Linked DNA regions of Rattus norvegicus. The protein of the gene in region 1 interacts with the protein of each later gene in a pairwise test. Links are inferred from orthologs where the notes say so. Each region holds a gene or a part of one and is shown on either strand. Other genes may lie near its edges.

The links.
Region 2: the proteins of Cask (region 1) and Tbr1 interact in a two-hybrid assay, tested with the Homo sapiens proteins (2 studies listed by BioGRID and IntAct). The link is inferred for Rattus norvegicus from reciprocal best matches to the Homo sapiens genes CASK and TBR1.

The regions. Positions count from the first base shown.
Region 1 is NC_086039.1:11,802,788-11,806,603, forward strand, and holds part of Cask (peripheral plasma membrane protein CASK), read left to right. Parts: intron 1-1,899; coding exon 1,900-2,022; intron 2,023-3,816. UniProt on the Homo sapiens protein: Multidomain scaffolding Mg(2+)-independent protein kinase that catalyzes the phosphotransfer from ATP to proteins such as NRXN1, and plays a role in synaptic transmembrane protein anchoring and ion channel trafficking.
Region 2 is NC_086021.1:66,758,471-66,762,816, reverse strand, and holds the start of Tbr1 (T-box brain protein 1), read right to left. Parts: upstream 3,015-4,346; 5' UTR 2,760-3,014; coding exon 2,068-2,759; intron 1,494-2,067; coding exon 1,339-1,493; intron 764-1,338; coding exon 642-763; intron 47-641; coding exon 1-46. UniProt on the Homo sapiens protein: Transcriptional repressor involved in multiple aspects of cortical development, including neuronal migration, laminar and areal identity, and axonal projection.

The DNA.
Region 1 (3,816 bases):
ATAGCAAATTGTGGAGGAAAGGGTTTATTTGGCTTACAGGTTACAGTCCATAATTGGGGAAATCCAAGACAGGGACTTGGAGGCAGAGAGTGAAGCAGAGGCCATGGAGGAATGTTGATTATGGCCTTGTGCCCCATGGCTTTGTCAGTCCGCATTGTTTTTTATGCAACCCAGGATGACCAGTTGTGGTCCTCCCCTCCCACATCAATCATTAATCAAGACAATCCCACAGGCTTACCTACAGACCAATCTGATGGAGGCGTTTTCTCACTTGAGCTCCCCCTTCCTAGATAACTAGCTTGTGACAGGTTGGGGAAAAAGACAGGGGAGCTTATCTATCTAGGTAATGCCTAATCAGTCACCACCATGAATTTCAGACAAGTCCACTGACCACAATTCTGATAAAATGACAATATTTAAGCAGTCCCATGCCAGTTTCCTCATGGGATTCAACAAATGGAAGTGATTGCTGTAGTAATTTTGCCTCTCAGAAAAGGAAAGTAGAACACTGTCCAACTGTAAGAGCTCTCCCTAGTATGCAGATGCTTTGCCCTCCCCATCTGTAAGTTCAAAGCCTCACCTGAGCCAAAGCTCTGTGTCTGTTGCCAGCCCTCAGCTGAACTGGAATGATTCCTTTATGCTGGGATGCAAGTACTGTGATTTTGTTTGCCTTTAAATTATAATATTCATTCTTCATCATTTTCTCTTAAGAGGTAACATAGATCGCTAATGGTTAAGGCCAGCACACTGAGCCAGAGATGTAGTTCCTTGGCAGAGCACATGCACCACGGTTCTGTCTCCAACACTGACAAACAACAGCAGCAGTTACAAAAAAAACTGGCTACTGTATGAAGCTCCTGGCACCAGGCAGCTCCCATATGGTCATTCAATCAGGCAACTTCCACTTTTGCCACTGCCTCCAGTTCCCACTTCCCTTCCCAGCTCCGAGCTCTGAGTGTTTTTCTCATTTCTGACCTTAGACATAACCCTTTCTCCAGGAGCCTTCTGGTCTTTCCCTCAAACATCCATAGCCATTATCAAAGAGACGTGAAAAATGTGTAATTCTTTTTGTTTACTTTTACTCAGTTTTACCACACGAATTAGTCGTCCCATCTCTAAAACAGAGAGCTTCACTGAGTACAGTATACAAGTGAAACTAGCTATTTTATGATGATAGTAATATTTTTCCTTAGATATTGAAATACCCCGGTCAGAATATCCAATTAATGATTTTAATAGCCTCACAATTAATATTGCCCCAGTTTTGTTTTAGGGCTTGTGCGTATGTTTCTTTCTTCCTTTAGGAATTTTTACCCTGTCTAGGAATTCCCTTGCCTTAGTGTCTCAGGTGCTAAGATTATACTGGTGCATACCACACTCAACACCTGATCCTAACGTTGGAAGACAGTAGTTTTCAAATGTTTCTTTAGCTGGGAATGATGGCAGAGACCTGTAACGTCGTCACTTAAGAGGCTAGGGTAGAAGCAACTGGAGGTTCAAGGTCTACCTTGGCTACACAGTGAGTTCTAGTCCATCCTGTGCTTAAGGAAACCTTGTCTCCAAAAAAGAATCGTCCTTTAATTTTTTTCACTTCAAATTTATTTCAGTACTTTATCAGTATATTCTGGCCTTTTTAGCTGAGAATCAAAAACTAGAAATCAGAATCATGAGCAGACCTTTCAAATATTGAAAATATTACAATATATCGATATCAACAGAAAAATTCCTGATATAAATAATAAGGAACAAAACCACAAAGCATTGCATGTGTCTTCTTCCTTGGGAAAACAGGTCTGTTAATCTGTGTTCTTTGCCCTGAGAATATTACACTGAAATAGTATAATACTAAGTGTTGACTTCTTGAAGGTAACCATAGAGCTTTCCTTCTTTCCTTCTCAGATGAATCCAAGGCAGTGGAGCCATATCTCTGAAAGTGCCAAAGACCTAGTGCGCCGCATGCTGATGCTGGATCCTGCTGAAAGGATCACTGTTTATGAAGCACTGAATCACCCATGGCTTAAGGTACCGTTGCTCCCAGGTCACCAGCCACACTGGCCTTAAAGGATTCTCCAAGAGGGACCTGTCACTTTTCTCAGCCTTGCCATCAGTTTTGTCCATTGTGTTTGCTGTCTTCCACCTTCTCTGGGACGTGTATGGTATTGGACTGAACACAAAATCAAATTAAGGCAGGCTGTTGTCCAGCAACACATGTACCAAAGACGGAAAGGAGCATCTAAAGTAACCATTTCATCTTACATTATCTTTATGTCACATATGACTATATACTTTGTAGGATTTCACCGGGTTCCAATAGGCACTAAGTGTAGACTTACAATTTTAAGGGAGAGACACATTCAGAAGTTTTTTAAATATCAGAAAATAGTATTGTTTCATTAAAGCATTGTGCTGTAATTCCAGGAAATTCTTGCTTCATAACATCCTCAAGAGATGTTCAGAATTTTGCTGTGAGTCACAAAACTTGTTATTGTTGGAGCCAAGATTTCAGTTCACCCTACTGCTACCTATTATTAATGCTATATATCTGTCCCTTTCACTGACTAGATGACATTGCTCCAGCCACTTCCCTCTTTCCTACATTCTCAGTTTTCTGGATCTTTTGGATTTAACATGTGATTGTTTTTATTGCTTGCATTCACATTCACGCATGAACATCTGCCTTCTCTTGACCCTACAAATTCTTCCAGCTTCTGCCCCCATTCTTTGGTCCTCTCAATTGCAAAACTAAAAAGAATTATCTTGTACCCATTTCTCCAGTCTTTCCCAACCCTATCTCTTGAGCTCATATGTTGTCAGGATCTCAATCATACCAATCCCACTAAAACAATTCTTATTAGCTATGGGTATGCCTCAGTACAGTCCTTGCCTAGCATGTGCAAGACCCTGAGTTTCAACCCAGAACCTCCAAAACTCAAAAGAAAAACAACTCTTGCCTAGTCACTGCTGACCTTCACATTGCTAAGTCTAATGATCAAATTCCAAAGTCACAATTTCTTGATCTGTTGACAGCATTTGACATCCATCTCCTGAAACTTTCTTTCCCTGGCTCCCATGATACCTACCCTCTGTTTCCCTTCTGCTAGTCTGGCTGCTTCTTCTCCAGTCCTACAGATTTTGTGTCGCCTCCTTACACCACATCACATGGATATGCCACTGACTGGTCTCCATCCCAGCTCACTCTATACTTGTTGGAAACCTCATTGAGTTTGACTGCCTTTAAGTATCTGTACATGATGAGTCCTAAATCTAGGCCTCTCTCCTGAAGTATTCTTCCTTAACCCACTGTCTAACTGGGTTTCCTGATAGATTGCTGGTTTAATCCTTAGTCTCCTTTGCCTCAGTTTCTTTTATTCTGGCCTCCTTGCTGATCCTTGGACAACAGGTACATCATTACCTCAACACTCCTGCAGTAATTATACTGTCTCCCTAGAACATTCTTCCTCTAGGCCACTTTGTGGTTTATTCCCTCACATCAGATCCATATTTAACTACCAGCTTCTTGGTAAAATCTTCCCTGGTGACTATTATATCATGATGCTTCCTCAGAGTTTATGCAAGACACTAAGATATGTAAAAATATCAGTCAATAATATATCTTAGTGACTATGATGTAGAATGATATTATAGAGCAATTTTGACATTTTAGTGATTCTTAATCCTTCTTGGGCTGAGGGGGTATTGTTTTCTAATAATAGAGCACTTTCTTAGCATGCATAAGTCCCCAAGTATGGTCTCCAGTAACATTTAAAAGAATATTACTTTAGAAATCTTCATTCAGCCTTTTGATATTTTAATACT
Region 2 (4,346 bases), on another chromosome or scaffold:
CGTGCAGACGGGGCTGGTACTTGTGCAGGGACTGTAAAACCACCATCTGTCCGGCGAAGAGAAAGGAGAGCGAGCGCTGTTACCGCGCCTGTTCGCACCAGCCCGCACCAGCCCGGGGGCTCGCTCTGGGCCAGGCTGAGCCAACTGGAGGCCGCTGCTCCAAACTGGCTGTGGGACTCGCCTCCTGGTGACAGGGTAGCCAGGATACCCTGGCCCAGGTACCTTTGGAAGCCAGGATCCTCCGGGCACTGAGGATAATGAAGCCCGAAAGACAATCCTTTCCCCTGGTCCTCCTTAGAAGAGGAACAAAGATTTTTCACAACCTACAAATCTCAACTCTGTTTCCTTTCGAAATCAACCAGTATTTGCTTCTGGAAAGGTGAATTCCAGAAAAAAGTCAGATAGGAGGCAAAGAGAACAACTTTATGGGTTAAATATAATTTGGGGAGGCAGAATTGTGATATTTGAAGTCTTCATTGATCGAAATAAATTCTACCGTGTTTCTTTGCTGCTGTAAACTAAAGAAGGGTGTGTGTTACAGAGAGAGAGAGAGAGAGAGAGAGAGAGAGAGAGAGAGAGAGAGAAAGAGAGAGAGAGAGAGAGAGAGAGAGAGAGAGAGAGAGAGAGAGAGAGAGACTGACCTGCCCATTGTTGTTTGATGCTCCCTTGTTGTTGGTAAGTTTTAATTTTCCAAACGAGATTTCTTGCCGCATCCAGTGAGCCCCAGTGTTGGGGGAATCCGGATGCATATAGACCCGGTTTCCTTAATAAAGAAATAGCTTGTTTACATATGCTGCTCTGGGCACTGCCCAGTCCCAACTCCTTAATACACGAAACACTCACACACACACACACACACACACACACACACACACACACACACACACATACACACACACACACACCTCACTTCACAATGAAACCCATTACCTGTTTTTTTTTTTGGAGGGGGGCATACTTTCTTCTCTTAACTGGAGATTATTAAAATAGCTTTACTGTCCAGTCCCAACTCTGTACCACATATCACACACACACACACACACACACACACACACACACACACACACACACACCTTCACAGAGAGGACCATTAGCTGGGCTTCTTTTTTTTTTTTTTTTTTAAGCCGCGATTTCTTCCCATTAACTGGGAATGATTAAAATAGCTTTTGCATAATCCTCCCCTTTCTTGCCGCTCAGTCTGTCCCCTGTCCCTCTCTTCTTTAGGAAGTCATTGGCCGACCGTTTTAAAAAGTCGCTCGAGCCAGTCCACAAAAGGCTTTAATTAATCATTCTCACCTAAATAAGTGTCAAGAAAACGTGTTAATTGGAAGGACTTGCCTTGCACATTGGTGTCCGCTTTGCCACAAGGAACCCATTTGCCTCCTTGAAACCTCCAGTGATTGGGATCCGCCAAAATCACATCCACAAAAATATTGTAATGAGCGGTGGGATCGAGACCAGAAATGTTAAAACTCAAAAAGGGAAACATGCGCCTGTTTGAATTAAAAAGAGAGAGAAAGCAAGGGGGAAAAAAAGAAAATAAATGTTAAAGATTAAATGCTGCAAGAAGCGGGGCGCCAGAAAGCTAAGCAAAACTTGTCCTCGCCGCGTGTCTGAACGAATGTTTGCTGATCTAGAAAGGGAGAGTGGGAGAAGGGAAGATGTAGGACCGAAGTCGGGGAGAGCACCGAGCGCTCTGGAGTTGGGGGACGGATTGCTCGGTAGAGAGCCGGGTTGGCGGCCTGCTTCTCCACCTGTCGGCACAGGCCAGCTTCGATGAGTTGCTCTGAAAGCCTGTTAGCGGCCACGGCTCTTCGTCTTGCTCCAGCCACCGACTGGTTCTCCGACCGCATTGGCACAGCAGGCTCCCCGCCACCAAACATCACCACGGTGGTTATTATCCCTTCCACTTTCCCCTTTTCCAAAACCAGCCAACTCCAGGGCGCACCCGAGCGCCTTTCCACTCCGCTCCCCGACCCCACATAGTCGCTGCCCGGCGGTCACAACTTGGGTGCGTTCGCCCAGGGTCACGCCTGGAACAGCGGCAGCCAAGAAAAGTAGCATTACCTTCCCTGTTTAGTGATGATCATCTCCGTTTGATGCCGATGAAATTTCAGCCAAAGTGGCCTGTTGCACAGGTATACCTGCGCCTTGCCGGGCACCAACCCGGGCTGGGTGGAGGAGAACTGGTAGAATGGGGCTCCTTGGTAGGAGTGGCCGTACTGCTGTGGGTAGGGGTAGCCGGCGGTGGGGTAGCCCTGCGGCGAAGAGTTGGACAGCAGGCTGTTGTAAGCTCCGTTGGTGATGACCGGGTGGTGGGCCATGTAGCGACTGGGGCTGCCGATGGAGAAGGCGGGATGCGCCGGTCCGTGCTGGCCGGGGTACGGGAACATGGCACTGGGAGCGGTGGCCGCAGACTGTGGCTGGCTGGACTGAGAGAGGAGGTAACGATCTGCAGCAGAGCCATCGAAACTGTGACGAAGCTCAGAGACCCCGTCCAAGACAGGAGAGAGTTTACTTCTCTGGACGTCCCCTGGTGAGTCCTTGGAGTCAGGAAAATTGTCTGTATCTGACTGATTCGTCATCCCCCTGGTAATTTTTTTCAAAGGTGAACTTCTCTCCAGGTTGTCAGTGGTCGAGATAATGGGATGATCATGCAAGACAAGCTCAGATCCGCCCGAATGTGGGTAGCTGCTGCTCACATTGAGAAATTTCTTGGAGAGCATGATAGAAGGAGAGAGGCAATGCTCCAGCTGCATAGCTCTAGAACCTGAAGGCTGGCCCTCCCGTCCCTGGGTTTTAAAGTCCTGTTTATCATAAACTAGGAATCCACAGACCCCTCACTAGACAGAAAGCACTTCAACCAGCAAATGCTTCTCAAAGGTTTGATTTACTTTTTTTTTTCCCTGGGAGAAGAGATTGGCCAATTGACACTATGCAGCAATCAGAAAAGGCTCACTTTTGATCTTGCTGCTTATGCAGCCGATGAAACGGCTCCTGCCATTGGTTAGCTGCTGACAGTAATTTAATTAGATAGACATTAATTAGGATAATCACCTGGCTCCTGGTCGCGACGATCATGGCAAATTGAAGGGGATGATTTTATTGTTGGCTTGGGGGGTGGGGAAAGTGTGTTGGTTTACGTGAGCTCTGTTATGTCACCTTTAAGCTTTGTGACCACTGCTTTAGGAAGATTCAAAGATGTGCAATTTACTAAACATTTCCTAACCCCCCCCCCCTTCTCTCTTTAGAGAGGAGGGGTGGAGGAGGGAATTCGATGATGCTAGGAGACTTTTCGGATCTGAATGAGCCAAATATTCAGTTGAATGTAACGATTTCAAGTGCAAAGTATACAAAGCGCGAGCCGGTGGCCTCTTCTCGCCCTGTAAAACTTCCAGAGTCTGTCTTTTCCAGTTAATACGCAGAAGCATACACACCTGAGCCTGTGCTTTGTTGAGTCGGTGCTGCGTGTCCTTGACGCCCCCTCCCCCACTTTAAACTACACGAATAAATAAATAAATCAACAAACCTCCAGCCGCTGAAAGCCACAGCCTTAAGAGAGATAAGGAGGCGAAGCGGCTAGCCCACCCATCAACCCACCTCAGGAAGGTTCGGTTTCCGGCTAGGGTACAGAAACAGTGACAATCTATGATCTCCTTTTTAAGTTTTGAAATAATCATAAGCCGTGGCGCTGAAGTGCTTTAATGTATTTGCAGTCATGTTTACTGGGTCGTTACTAAATATTTTATCAGCCAACTTGGTTGCAGATCATCTGAAGAGCAGCTAGCTGGGGGCGGGCGCCATGTATCCTTTGAGTCCCACCGCACTTCCTCCTTTTTGGAGGCACTGGCTTGGTGACAGGTTCATAAGCCTCGCCAGGAAAAAAGAGAGAGGGCTGAGTCCCCAGCGCAAATGGGTTCGCTAGAAGCGTTGATCTGGGGAGACAGAGTGGAAGTGGTGTCAACGCGATGATCTTACTGGTGTGTGTGTGTGTGTGTGTGTGTGTGTGTGTGTGTGTGTGTGTGTGTGTGTGTGTAATGTTTACATAATCCAGAGGGAGAGAAAAAGAATCCATGCCAGTAATTTTTAAAAGAGGATTAGCGAAAAGAATCGATTTAAGGAAATTTTGGCACAAGTAACATGAGTCCCCAAGCAACTGAGTTTTAGGGAGAAAAGATCTCCTACTATCTGCTTCACGGAGGCCAGCGGCCAGCCTCAGGCCAAGAGCACCTGAGATGACAAACCCAGAGCTGCTGTCTAGACATGGCCAACCTGCTCCGTAGCTTTCCTTCCTGAAGGCAAGAGGCGCAGAAATGCAAAGCCAACCCCAGGCATAGCTCAGCTTG